Linked DNA regions of Daphnia pulex. The protein of the gene in region 1 purifies or fractionates together with the protein of each later gene. This does not show direct contact. Links are inferred from orthologs where the notes say so. Each region holds a gene or a part of one and is shown in the gene's direction. Other genes may lie near its edges.

Region 1 (4,102 bases):
ACTATTCGTTGATGTTGGAGAGACATTTTGATTATTCAAGTTTCCCGGAATCCCCTAATTTGTTGCGCTCCAGCCAAGGACGCGATGAATGTTGGACGGGATTTTACAAGCAAAAAAAGTCAATTTAATTGAGTCATTGGTTGCAGCAGATTGCCATTTGCTTATCGCCAAAACCAACAGGGAAAGTTTTCAATCAGCGCGGGCGTTTTCCATGTTAAAACGCATAAAACTTTGAAACAAATGAAGCGAAACGCAATTAATTATGAACGTGAAACAATCAAAGTGGCTTAAAAAGGAGGGAGGGACCCGTGTCTTTTCTGGTGCTGAGCTAAACACGGAAAGCTGAATCACCGTGAAATCGTTTCATTTGAATTAGTTAAAAGAAGAAGAAGAAAGAGTATCAATTTTCTAATTTTGTCTCTTTATTCACGATCGTCGTGACACGGACGTGCCATCTAGTCAACGTGATCTCAACTAATCACATTATTGGAGAAGGTGAACGCGGGAGGCGATGTGGCGCGCCAGTCTCACTGGAATTCTCCCCCTCTCCGTTATCTATGTCTAGGACAAAACAAATTCTATTTATTGTCTCAATAACGTTATCGAATAATTTTAATAGCGGATTTGTAGTTGTTTTTCTTTCAAAATCCTGCGATGAATTCATTCGAGTGTCGACAACTAAATTTCGGTTAAAAACTTGAGAGGACTAGTACAAAACATTATGTAAAGCGGTGGGATTGGACGTAAGAGAGAAAGGAAGAGCCTTATCTTCCATCTGGAACTCGCCTTTTACAACTGGGAACTATCCACCACCACCGAGTGCAGTATACATGTTTTTGCGGTTAACCTAGTTATGCTGCTGCTGCTACTCGCCCCCGTGTATACATGTTTTGTTTGTAAAAGCTTTAGTGCGACAGCTTTTCGAGCTGCTGAAAAAAGCCAGTAACCTATTTGCTATTTAAGACACGAGAACAAATACCAACAACAAAAACAAGCAAACGAAAAAGAGACAGTCTGAGGAAATGTAGTTTATTTTTATATAATCTTTTAGCAAACGTTTTCTTTTTTTTTTTAATTTTTAACAGTGGAACACGCGCCGAAAAACCGATAAGGAAGTCGACCCTGTCGGGAGTCATTAGAAGAGAGGGGGGATTGGAAAAGTGGGCGGAGTCATGGAAAACACAACTCACTGAGAATCGATTGTTTAGTTCGATTGAGTCGATCACGAAGCCCAGCACCAACAGGAGAGAGAGGCTCGTCGGCTGTAAGACACCACCGAAAGGGCATTGGAAGGAGATTTACTCTGAAAAAGTAAAAAAGAGAAGACTCTTCTTACTTGCTGCTGGTGTGGTGTGTGTGTTGTACTGTACAAGTCATTCAGTCAAATTCCAGGCTGCGACGAAGTGAGCACAACAGAGGCCATTTCACTCTGGGTTTTTATTTTTCCTCTTTTCTCCTCTCTATAAAACTGGATTTGAATTACACAGCTCTAATTTAAAGTGAGTGCGCAAAGCCGTGTTGCTGGTGTGTGTGTGTCTAAAACCGAGTGTGCAATCCAATCTCGAATCGAGCCCAACAATCGATCGTCGAGAAGCGTCGAGTTCGTGTCACGAGCGTGGAAAAATGAACAAGAGCCTTTTCCAGCAGCAGGTAAGGAGAAACAAAACAAAAAAGGGCAAAAACAACCCTTGAGCTATGTGTACCCCAAATTCTCCCAGAGACGCCATTTTTCTGTTGATACCTTTCTCAATTATTCCGCGCATACGTTTATATTTTTGTCGTCCATTTTCCATCGAAAAATCTTATTTTTCTCTTTCTGGCCATTGTGTGTGTGTTGTTTCCAACAACTTTGGCCATATTTATATAACTACGCCATGTCGTCGCTTACAGGATGCAGCTCGAGAGCTTTGTGTTGAATTCCGTAGTGTGCCCAGGCCATTTTATCGTTTTTCTTTCTTTCTCTCTTTCGTATTTTTCACCTTTTGAAGCGAATGGAAGTGCGAAGGGAGAATTGTGATGATTGAACATGTAAAGAGAGACGAAAAATTGAGGCTACATGACTTTCTCTCTTGCATTGCATGACTCGCTCCTCCTTCTCTTCTCTTCTTTTTCCTACGCCAGTATTTATACACACACATCGACAATATAAACTTACGGTAGAACGCTTTTGGCACGGCAGGACGAGCTGGAAAGGAAAGGCATTAAATGACATGGGGGCGGGACATTTCGACTTTCAACCAATCAGCACCGGGGACCCGAACGCTCACGGGATATATAGACGTAGATCCGTTGGGTCTACACAGCCCAAACTGAACTTGTGACATTGTCTCGATTGCTGCAAAATAAAGCCAAACAAAGCATTTGAAACCCAGCAGCTCAAGCCTGTCTTATATGATTGTTTTTAAAAATGGGACAAAAAAGTTGTACGACTTTTATTGGGATTCTCGTCTTTTGTTCTGTCAATCGATTGTACACCAATAATCGGGTTTTGTATACACATCGTGATTGGCAAAAGAGGTGGTTGTTTTATTGGGTTGGCTTTGACGTTGCACAAACTAGCCAGCCGTCTATAGTAGTAGCAGGAAGCGCAGCAGAGACTACGGGGGGCTCTATTGAGTTTTGTTGATGTTGGCGGACTTGTAGGTTAGTCAGCCTGGCTGGCTGGCTGGATAGTGGAAATGGCGTTGTGTCCGACTGGTCATCGATTTTGTTTGCTGGCAGCTCCCCCTTCACGCTGCTGTGTTCAACCCAACTCCCGATGAGACTGCGAAAAAGGAAAGACTGACAACAATAAAAAGGAAAAGAGAGAAGATTGCCCGCTGGAATGGCCGTTGCCATCACTTTCCGGAGTCTTTCCAACCCTGGCGCTGATCCAGATTGAATAAATCAGCTGGTTCCTTTACTAGCTGGGCTGGTTCGGGATGCCATTACCTCGGCTCATCTCGCTCTCTCTTCTTCAAAGGGATGAAAATCAAACCCCCCTTCTTTATCTTTCTTACCGCCCATCAAGTTATAATGGGCCTTTTGATATCGATCTGTTTTTTAGTCGACACAAAAGAGAGACGACACACAAACCTTAAAGAAAAAGGGGATTTTCAGGGTTTGGGGTTGGAAAGCCAACCAGAAACTTGGGTGGGAGGGAGAGACACAATTTTGGCAAGTCTCGAAGCAGAAAAACTTGGCGATGATGAGATACCGAAAATCTAAGGTTTCACTTGGACTATTTAATGGTTCACGTGCACGGTTTCCCATGTATACGCGGATGTATACAGTACCACACACGCGGAGGCCGTGCGGCTAGAAAATTGGAAGAGAGGGGTAGGGCACAGTCCTTTTTAGACTTGTCCGACTATATTTTCACGCGGATCAATAACTCGACGCGTCCGCTCCGGCTTCTCCTTGTAGCGTGCGCTCTCTGTGTGTGTGTGTTTACATTCGATCCCGTTGTATGGCCCTCGTGACGCTTCCTTCTTATTTTTCCATTTTTTAAAAAATTATTATTTGTTTGTTCCTTTTGAAATCACGAGGTTTCTAAAGGAACTCATTTCTAATGCGTCTTACGTTACGAACAAGTGTGGAAAAGATTTCCGGGAGATGTCTAAAGTTACCATCTTTCACGAACCAAATCTAGAAATAAAAAAGACGATTTTACACGGGAAAAAAATAACTAGCGCGTCATTCAGCGTCAAAAATACGAAAATGATTATTGAGAAACAGAATTAAATATTTACGACTTTGCACTTTCTTATTTCCTTTCCAAATAAATAAATAAAAATCTGAAAAAATAAAAACTGGTCAATTGAAATAAAAGGCGAAAGAAAGACAATCTGGCAATGGCGCATGGACGAGACGCTGTTGGCCCCCTTCCTCCTCTCTTTCTCTCACTCGTCGGCTGTGTGTGTAGACTGACTTGTGTTTTGTGTGCGCGCTCGTCGTATCTCAGTGGATGTTGAAACAGCCGCGGTCCCGCTCCAACGAAGACCCGTTTTTTTTTCCTAACAACAACACATATATTATTTCTTACAAAGCAAAGAATCATCCATTTCCAAGTACCTAAGTCATTCTGGTGTGTCGTGTTCCTCCATAGTTTTTTTTTTGGCAC
Region 2 (4,197 bases), on another chromosome or scaffold:
AATTCACTGTTGATGTAAAGTGCACATTGTAACTGCAAAAAATCCCAGTCTTCTAGAATCATTTGGCTTTTTGCACCCGAGAGACGGTGTTTAACAATGACATCATTCAGGAAGACAATTTCTGTTAGTTTCATTGTCAAATCATCCTCGTTTGTCCCCGATTTCAAATCGGACACTACAGAAGGTCGAATGCAAACAGGAGGAACTGGAACACGGGTGAGAATCATGTCCTTTGGATGCCCATGTTCAGGATTCATCACCAAAAATTGGATATCTTCGTCTGGAATTCTCTCAAACAGATGAAGTACTTCAAGTGGATTTAACATTTTAACCAAGCCAGATGACAACATTGGTTCAATCTCCTTGTTGAACTGCACAGCATTCTCATAAGCCACTAACTCATTTTTTAAAATAACGTTGTCTTTCTTGATACTTCTAAATTTTTCATGGGATATCTTCAGCATGCCACACTTTTTCACCATGCCATTGATGTCATTGCAGTTTGGGCAGCGTGTTACTTTTTTGCATACTTCTTGAATTTGCTTCCTCAGTGCTTTCTTATTTAGATAAGGTATTTTTGAACCCTTTAGTTTGGCTCTGTAAATTTTTCTCATCTTTTCATTAAGCATTACATGAGAGCAAGATTTGCAAATTGTTTGCAAGATAGTAATTACAGCCTTGAAGTATCCAACATGGAAAACTGGAAGTTCCAAATCAATGTAACCAAAATGGCCTACACATTCTGTCAGCCCTTTTCCGCAAGTACCACATATTGCATCTTTAACACTCATCCCCTATGAAAAAATAGCAGTTAAGTGTGGATCTCTTTAAATATTTAAAGAGTAAATTACCATTCTTCTGTCCAACATTCCATACTGCATAGGTGTTCGTCCAGCATCTCGGTTATACAAATTCTGAGCTACCACTTGAATGTGAGATTGCTGTTGTATTTGTTGCGGACTTTCAATTCCAAAGCTTACTCTTGCTCTAAAAGTACATAATCGTATTTAATCTTCTATACCTATACTAATGTGAATTAGAATTTTGAGTGTTAAAAAAACTTACATTTTTCTAATAACGTCAGTCTCACGGTATTGCTCCTTCACCATCGTTAAAACTAGTTTTCAATCATCCACTTGAAATAGTTTAAAATGATAAAATAATTGAAATGAAGAAATAAAAAGCACGTGTTACACCGGCATCGATCAGACGAATTATTGATGGCAGGAAAAGACTAAAGAGTGATGAGCTTTTTTTCTTTTCGTAATGAATTCGTCGTCAACTAGTGTTGACTATGTTGACTATCTAAGTAAGTTAACAAACGCAGCCCCTAGGTGGCACTTTACAGCAAAACGAAACGAAATGTCTTGAAGTTGAAAGATGGATTTCAATGTTGGCGTTTTTTCAGAGAAATCTTCGATTTTAATTGATGGTGGAGATAGATTTGGTGTGTCCGCAATTCATTGGGACCTTCAGGAAGAGCTGCTTTGGGTTGGTAATCAAGGAGGACATGTCACTAGTTATTATGGCTCTTCTCTACACAAATACACATCATTCCAAGTTCATGCATCTCAAGAAGTCAGACAGATGATTTCTTTTGATGCTGGTTTACTTATAGTAACCCCAAACACTCTTAGATGCCAACAAAGGAGAGGTGTCCCATTATTCACTTACAGGTTTGCATAATTGAGTGTAAATTTTCTAAATTGTTTACGTAAGAAAATCATCCACAATATATCATAAAAATAACAATTTAATATAAACTTCTTCTAGCTCAAGTACTTGTGAAGATCTACAATGCTTGTTACAAACAGGGCCCACAACAGTTCTACTTGGAGGACACCAACCGCTGGTAGTAGAATTTGACCTTGTGACAGCGAAGGAAACAACAAAAGTAAAGTGAAGTTAAAAACCATAACCTCCATAACATTTATGATAAATATATTTCTATTGGTTTATTAGTTTGATGTAGGAGAAAAGGGATGTGCAATTCTGAGACGACACCCTAGATTTATCTGCTCAGGTACAAAAATTCTTATGAAATACACAAATAAAAATTCATCCTTCCTTAAATAACTAGGTGACGCTAGTGGATGCGTATCATTAAGAGATCCTCGAACTTTACGTGAAGAGCATAAATTTGTAGCACATACTGAAAGCCTTTCAGATTTTGATGTTCATAACAACTTGATTGTGACTTGTGGGTTTTCATCCAGGTAATTTTTCTATATTATATAACAGAAGTAAGTTAAATTATCCAGTTGTACTTATTAAATAGGCAGGGAGGTGTGGTTTCGGATCGCTTTTTGAAAATTTACGATGTTAGAATGTTACGAGCTCTCAGTCCAGTTCCTGTGGTCGGAGAACCATTTCTATTGCGGTTCTTACCAGCATTCTCGTCCCAATTGGCGGTTATCTCTGCCATGGGACAGTTACAGGTTCTTGATGCAGCTGCTCCTGCATCTTCAGCTCTTCAACTTTTCCAAGTGAATAACGAGGGTGCTATGTGCATGGCTCTTGAAGTTTCATCTTCTTGCCAATGCTTAGCTGTGGGGGATGCCGGTGGATATGTTCACACCTTTGCATCAAACGCATCAGCTTTATTTAACAGCTTTTCTCGACCGACGGAATTTGCCGATCCAGTAGAATCCCTTCCGGTTTCGATCGCCATGGACGATACTACGACGCCACTCACTTCAATCCCTTTCCCCTTAGAACACAATTCGCCGCTGCTATCAGATTGGCCGGAACAGTTTACCCGCAGGAGATTCCGTAAAGTTCCACCTATTGATCATGCTATTCTGTCAAATATGCGCATGGTAGGCACTATTGGTTATGCTCCAAGTCCAGCTGATCATAGACCTAATCAAGTGGCCTACTCAGCCGAAAAACGAACACAACGTGGTCAGAAACATTCGGGAACGGATTCAACACATTCAAAGGGTTAGTCTGAATTAATTTTTCACAATTTTTATGTTTTCACCATTTTTAGCCAATTTCCCTTACAGAAGATACTGAATGCTATCAAGTGTGGAAACGATATCGTCATATCGAGATGAGGTACACAAAGGGTGGCCTTGACGAAAATGAGTTAGCTCGTTACAATTCCACGCCCCTCTGCGGTTTGGATAATACACTTCCTTATTCATATGCAAACTCTTTGCTGCAGGTATGAGTCTGATTGCTTACATTTTGATCTGTGCATTTTGACTGTTCGTTTCTTAATTGAAGGTGTTATATTTCATTCCGGAATTACGTCATTGTCTTCTTGAGCATTCCTGCAACCGAGAATTTTGTCTTGCCTGTGAGCTGTCATTCCTTTTTCATATGCTGGATGTTGGTAGAAATCAAGATCCTACTAGTACTCCAGTTACAGTCCAACCATCTAATTTTCTTCGGGCTTTCCGCACTCTTCCCGAAGCTTCGGCAATGGGACTGTTGATGGCAGAAAATCATCCTGAAATAAAGATAAAAAGTACACTTCCTAGGCTTGCTCAGGTAATTTTCAGTTATATATTAGTTTCTCTTTGTGACACTGATTCAAAATATTTGTAAATTTAATGTTACAGAGCTGGGCTCGTTTTATTCTTCAACAACTTAGCAGCGAAACCTTGCCTCAAAGCAAGATAACAAAAGAATCGACCACAATTACAAGTAATTTAGTAGAATTTAACGGAGAAGGTACGGAAAATTCTATTAAACCGGAAAGAGATGTTTCACCTTCTGAGGATGGTCTGTCACCAGTGTCTCCTATCTCTAAACTGTTTGGTGTTGAACAAGAGCAGATTAGCCGCTGCACAAAATGTGGAAGCGAAAATTCTAAAACTTCGCCTGTGCTTCTCTCTTCCCTTACTCTGCAAGATGTGGAGGGTTAGTGACATATATTTTTTATTATACCTAATTTACAAGGCACTTTGTCTATATTTTACTCACTCGATCAATAGATGAACACAGCTTCGAACATGTACTTGAAAAGAGTTTTGACGTAGCAAGTGTGACTCCGGCCTGGTGTGAAGTTTGTCAAAAATATCAAGCAACTCAGCAAAGAAGACGTTGTCTAACATTACCGCCAGTTCTTGCTCTGTCCTGTGCTAACGATACCTATAAAGGTTTTCGATTTTGGTCAGATCAACTACAAGTAAACTTTTAATATTCATAATGCACAGTTTAACACGAAACTAATAATTCGTTTACTCA
Region 3 (3,602 bases), on another chromosome or scaffold:
CCTATCCGTCCTGGCAGTGGAGTTGGAGTTGACGTTTCATTTCCACCAGGAACCTTAAGCAGCCAACTATTTCCGCCTCCTGGAGTTGACTCAACTGGTCTTTCGCCCAGCCTTAGTAGCATGGGCTTAGGTCCACCAACTTCATCTGGATTTGCTGTTAATATTGGGTCCAATACACTCGGAGGAAATACTCCAGCCCCCGGATCGCCTGGAAAATTGTTCTCTAGCATGTCTTTGCTAGAAACTGGTAATGAATTACACCATTCGAAATCGACTCATCCAATTCTTATAACTAATATTTATTTACTTGTTTTGCTTTTCAGGAGTCAATCAGCCAACGGTTGTGGGGATGCCAAACAATTCCAACTCGAGTCAGAACCAAAGTACTTTCTCCATTTTTTCTTCATTAACTGGAACTGGAGCAATGCCTGGATCATCCAGTACAAATCCACTGGGCATAGGTATTCCATCTTCTATGGCGAGTGGAAGCGGGAACGGTCAATCAAGTATGGGTACGAGCAATATTGGATCTGGTACGGCTGGTTCTCCTGGATCGATTGTCAATGGCCCTGTTCGAGTAGGAATGAATCCTCACCTAGGCCAAGAACGAAGAACCGGCGATGTATCTAGTGCTTTTGCTGACATGCCACAAGCTGTTTCAAAAGTAAGCTAATATTTTTTTTATTTTTATTTTCCCCACACCTAATGGACGCATTCGTGTTTGTGTAACAAAGGATATCGAAGACGAGACAAATAGTTATTTCCAGCGGATTTACAACCAATCGCCTTCAACGCCTACCTTGACAGTCGATGAAGTTCTTGAACTTTTGAAGAAGTTTCAACATTCGACTAACCGCCGTGAACGGGAGATATTTGACTGCATGTTGAGGAATCTATTCGAAGAGTATCGTTTCTTCCCTCAGTATCCAGATCGCGAGCTGCACATAACGGCTCAGTTGTTTGGTGGAATCATGGAGCATGGTCTCGTCACCTACATGGCTCTGGGAGTGGCACTACGTTACGTACTTGAAGCTGTCCGGAAACCACACGGGACGAAGATGTACTATTTTGGGATCACTGCCTTAGATCGGTTCAGACATAGATTGAAGGAATATCCGCAATATTGTCAACATTTGGCCAGCATTCCGCATTTTCGGGAGTTCCCGCCGCATCTAATCGAGTATATCGATAATGGCTCCCGTGGCGTCGAGCCACCCAATCGTCCTCATGGTCCAGTCTTACCTCAAGTGACGACAGCTGCCAAAACCACTACTCCGACTACGCCAACTACAACGGTTGCTGGTAAAACGACCTCTACTGCTGCACCTATGAGTGGTCGACCGTCAATAGCAAACGCGACCAACATCGACACATTGCTGGTTGCTTCGGAGAAAGACGTCTTAATTGTAGACCCACCAGAGAGCGTCCAAGACAAAGTCAGCTTCATATTTAATAATCTGAGTCAATTAAACCTGACGCAAAAGTGCGAAGAATTGCGTGACATTGTGGGTGAAGAACATTGGTCTTGGGTAGCCCAGTATCTGGTGATGAAAAGAGCTTCAATTGAACCAAATTTTCACACACTCTATTCAAACTTCCTTGACACACTGAAGCTATCCGAGCTCAGTCGACTTGTCATTGGTGAGACGTTCCGCAATATCAAGGTACTCCTTCGTAGTGACAAGGGAATAGCAAATTTCTCAGATCGCACACTGTTGAAAAATCTTGGTCATTGGCTTGGACTTTTGATGCTATCTAAAAACCGGCCGATTCTACAGGTAATTCATTATTTTATTTTTAAATTGTGTACCAATTTTGCTAAACTGCAACTTCATTTAATATTCAGGGAGATATTGATTTAAAATCAATTCTAGTCGAAGCGTATCACAAAGGGCAACAAGAACTTCTGTACGTCGTACCATTCGTGGCGAAAGTCTTAGAGTCATGTGCTAAGAGCAAAGTGTTCAAACCACCCAATCCATGGACCCTAGGAATCATGAATGTTTTGGCAGAACTACATCAGGAGCCTGACTTGAAACTTAATCTTAAATTTGAAGTCGAAGTTCTTTGCAAAACTCTAGCCATTGATATTCACGATCTTAAGCCGGGAGTAGTCTTCAAGGATCACAATCGTCTGTCACGTTTGGAACCGCAGTTGTCCCAGCCGCAATTACAGCAAATGTATCAACCAGCACCACAATTGCAAATCATTCAGCAGCAGCAGCAGCAACTTCAACAGCAGCAGCAGCAACAACAACAACAACAGCAGCAGCAGCAGCAACAACAACAACAACAGCAGCAACAACAACAACAACAGCAGCAGCAGCAGCCACCACCACCGCCACAACTTGCTGGCTCACCTGCACAACAAATGCAATCCCAGCCTGGCACAACTACTCCAACACCAGCCCACGCAATTCAAGGCCCTCCTGATCCGAGGTTTTCTTATTTGGACATCAATGTCACTTCGTTGGCCGGACTAGCTCAGCATCTAGTAGTTAATAATAACATACCGCTGTTGACGGCGCATCCGAATTTAAGGATCCTTATCCGACCAGCTGTTGAACGAGCTGTTCAAGAGTGTATTCATCCAGTTGTTGATTGGTCTATGAAAATAGCCTTGACCACTTGTGAGCAAATCATAAAGAAAGACTTTTCACTCGACGCGGATGACACCCGCATGCGCGCTGCTGCTCATCACATGGTTCGCAGTCTCAGTGCAGGTATGTCTCGTTTAAATTTGTTGATGTATATAGAATTTATATTAAAATTGTGTATATTTAGGCACGGCATTGATTCGCTGCCGAGATCATTTGCTATTGACGATTGCAAACAATCTCAAGACAGCATTTTCTGCTGCCTTGCAGAGGAGCACCAGCCCTCAACAGAAGGAGTTGGTTGAACAAGCAGCCACTTTGACCGCTCAAGATAACGTTGAACCAGCGTGTGCGTTTATCCAAAAGACAGCCGTAGAGAAATCCATTTCGGAAATCGATAAACGCCTTGCCACGGAGTTCGATTTACGCAAGCACGCTCGAAACGAAGGCAGGAGATACTACGACCCCGCTGTTTTCGCCTATCAGGTACACACGTCTCTTATTTTACGTCTGGCAAACTAAACGTTACAAAAATATATCTTTTATTATTCAGGCCGATCGAATGCCGGAACCCATTCGTTTGAAAATGAGTGGCGTTACACCCCAACAAGCTGCCGTATATGAGGAGTTTGCCCGATACATCCCTGGATTCTTACCTGTCACCGAACGAGATGCAGCCATGCTTGTGCCTAAGATGATCCCCACGTTTACCAACGATGAAATTGGGGTCATTTTGGAAAAAGTCGCCATGGAATTGGAGCGTTTCTTGCAATCACTGTTGCCATTGGGCAGCTCAACGCAAGCAGTTGCGATTGGCTCTCTATTGGAAGCTGTCATTTTGGCTCGTTCTTCACGTGAACACGGAGCACATATTACTTTACTTCAAAAAGCTTTCGAAGGACTGGTGGAGAGCTTAACCAGTTTCGCTACGACCGGAAATGATCCGGAAGCCGTCGTCCGTTTCCGCGACGCACATTTGCTGGTTTTGAAAGCCTTGCAAGATCC

What was found.
Region 2: the proteins of protein Gawky-like (region 1) and PAN2-PAN3 deadenylation complex catalytic subunit PAN2-like purify together in Homo sapiens (affinity purification with western blotting; 3 studies listed by BioGRID and IntAct, with this or other methods). This does not show direct contact. The link is inferred for Daphnia pulex from reciprocal best matches to the Homo sapiens genes TNRC6C and PAN2.
Region 3: the proteins of protein Gawky-like (region 1) and CCR4-NOT transcription complex subunit 1-like purify together in Homo sapiens (co-immunoprecipitation; 4 studies listed by BioGRID and IntAct, with this or other methods). This does not show direct contact. The link is inferred for Daphnia pulex from reciprocal best matches to the Homo sapiens genes TNRC6C and CNOT1.

What each region holds. Positions count from the first base shown.
Region 1 is NC_060018.1:6,003,451-6,007,552, forward strand, and holds the start of protein Gawky-like, read left to right. Parts: upstream 1-1,255; 5' UTR 1,256-1,650; intron 1,651-3,815; exon of another isoform or gene 3,816-4,102. UniProt on the Homo sapiens protein: Plays a role in RNA-mediated gene silencing by micro-RNAs (miRNAs). Required for miRNA-dependent translational repression of complementary mRNAs by argonaute family proteins.
Region 2 is NC_060021.1:6,585,438-6,589,634, reverse strand, and holds the start of PAN2-PAN3 deadenylation complex catalytic subunit PAN2-like, read left to right. Parts: upstream 1-1,333; 5' UTR 1,334-1,380; coding exon 1,381-1,676; intron 1,677-1,773; coding exon 1,774-1,894; intron 1,895-1,962; coding exon 1,963-2,023; intron 2,024-2,080; coding exon 2,081-2,216; intron 2,217-2,278; coding exon 2,279-2,943; intron 2,944-3,008; coding exon 3,009-3,169; intron 3,170-3,231; coding exon 3,232-3,498; intron 3,499-3,569; coding exon 3,570-3,870; intron 3,871-3,944; coding exon 3,945-4,138; intron 4,139-4,197. Other genes in the region: DNA-directed RNA polymerase III subunit RPC1-like, read right to left, coding at 1-794, 852-987, 1,066-1,109. UniProt on the Homo sapiens protein: Catalytic subunit of the poly(A)-nuclease (PAN) deadenylation complex, one of two cytoplasmic mRNA deadenylases involved in general and miRNA-mediated mRNA turnover.
Region 3 is NC_060019.1:12,280,332-12,283,933, forward strand, and holds part of CCR4-NOT transcription complex subunit 1-like, read left to right. Parts: coding exon 1-247; intron 248-323; coding exon 324-664; intron 665-734; coding exon 735-1,778; intron 1,779-1,846; coding exon 1,847-2,723; intron 2,724-2,784; coding exon 2,785-3,083; intron 3,084-3,150; coding exon 3,151-3,602.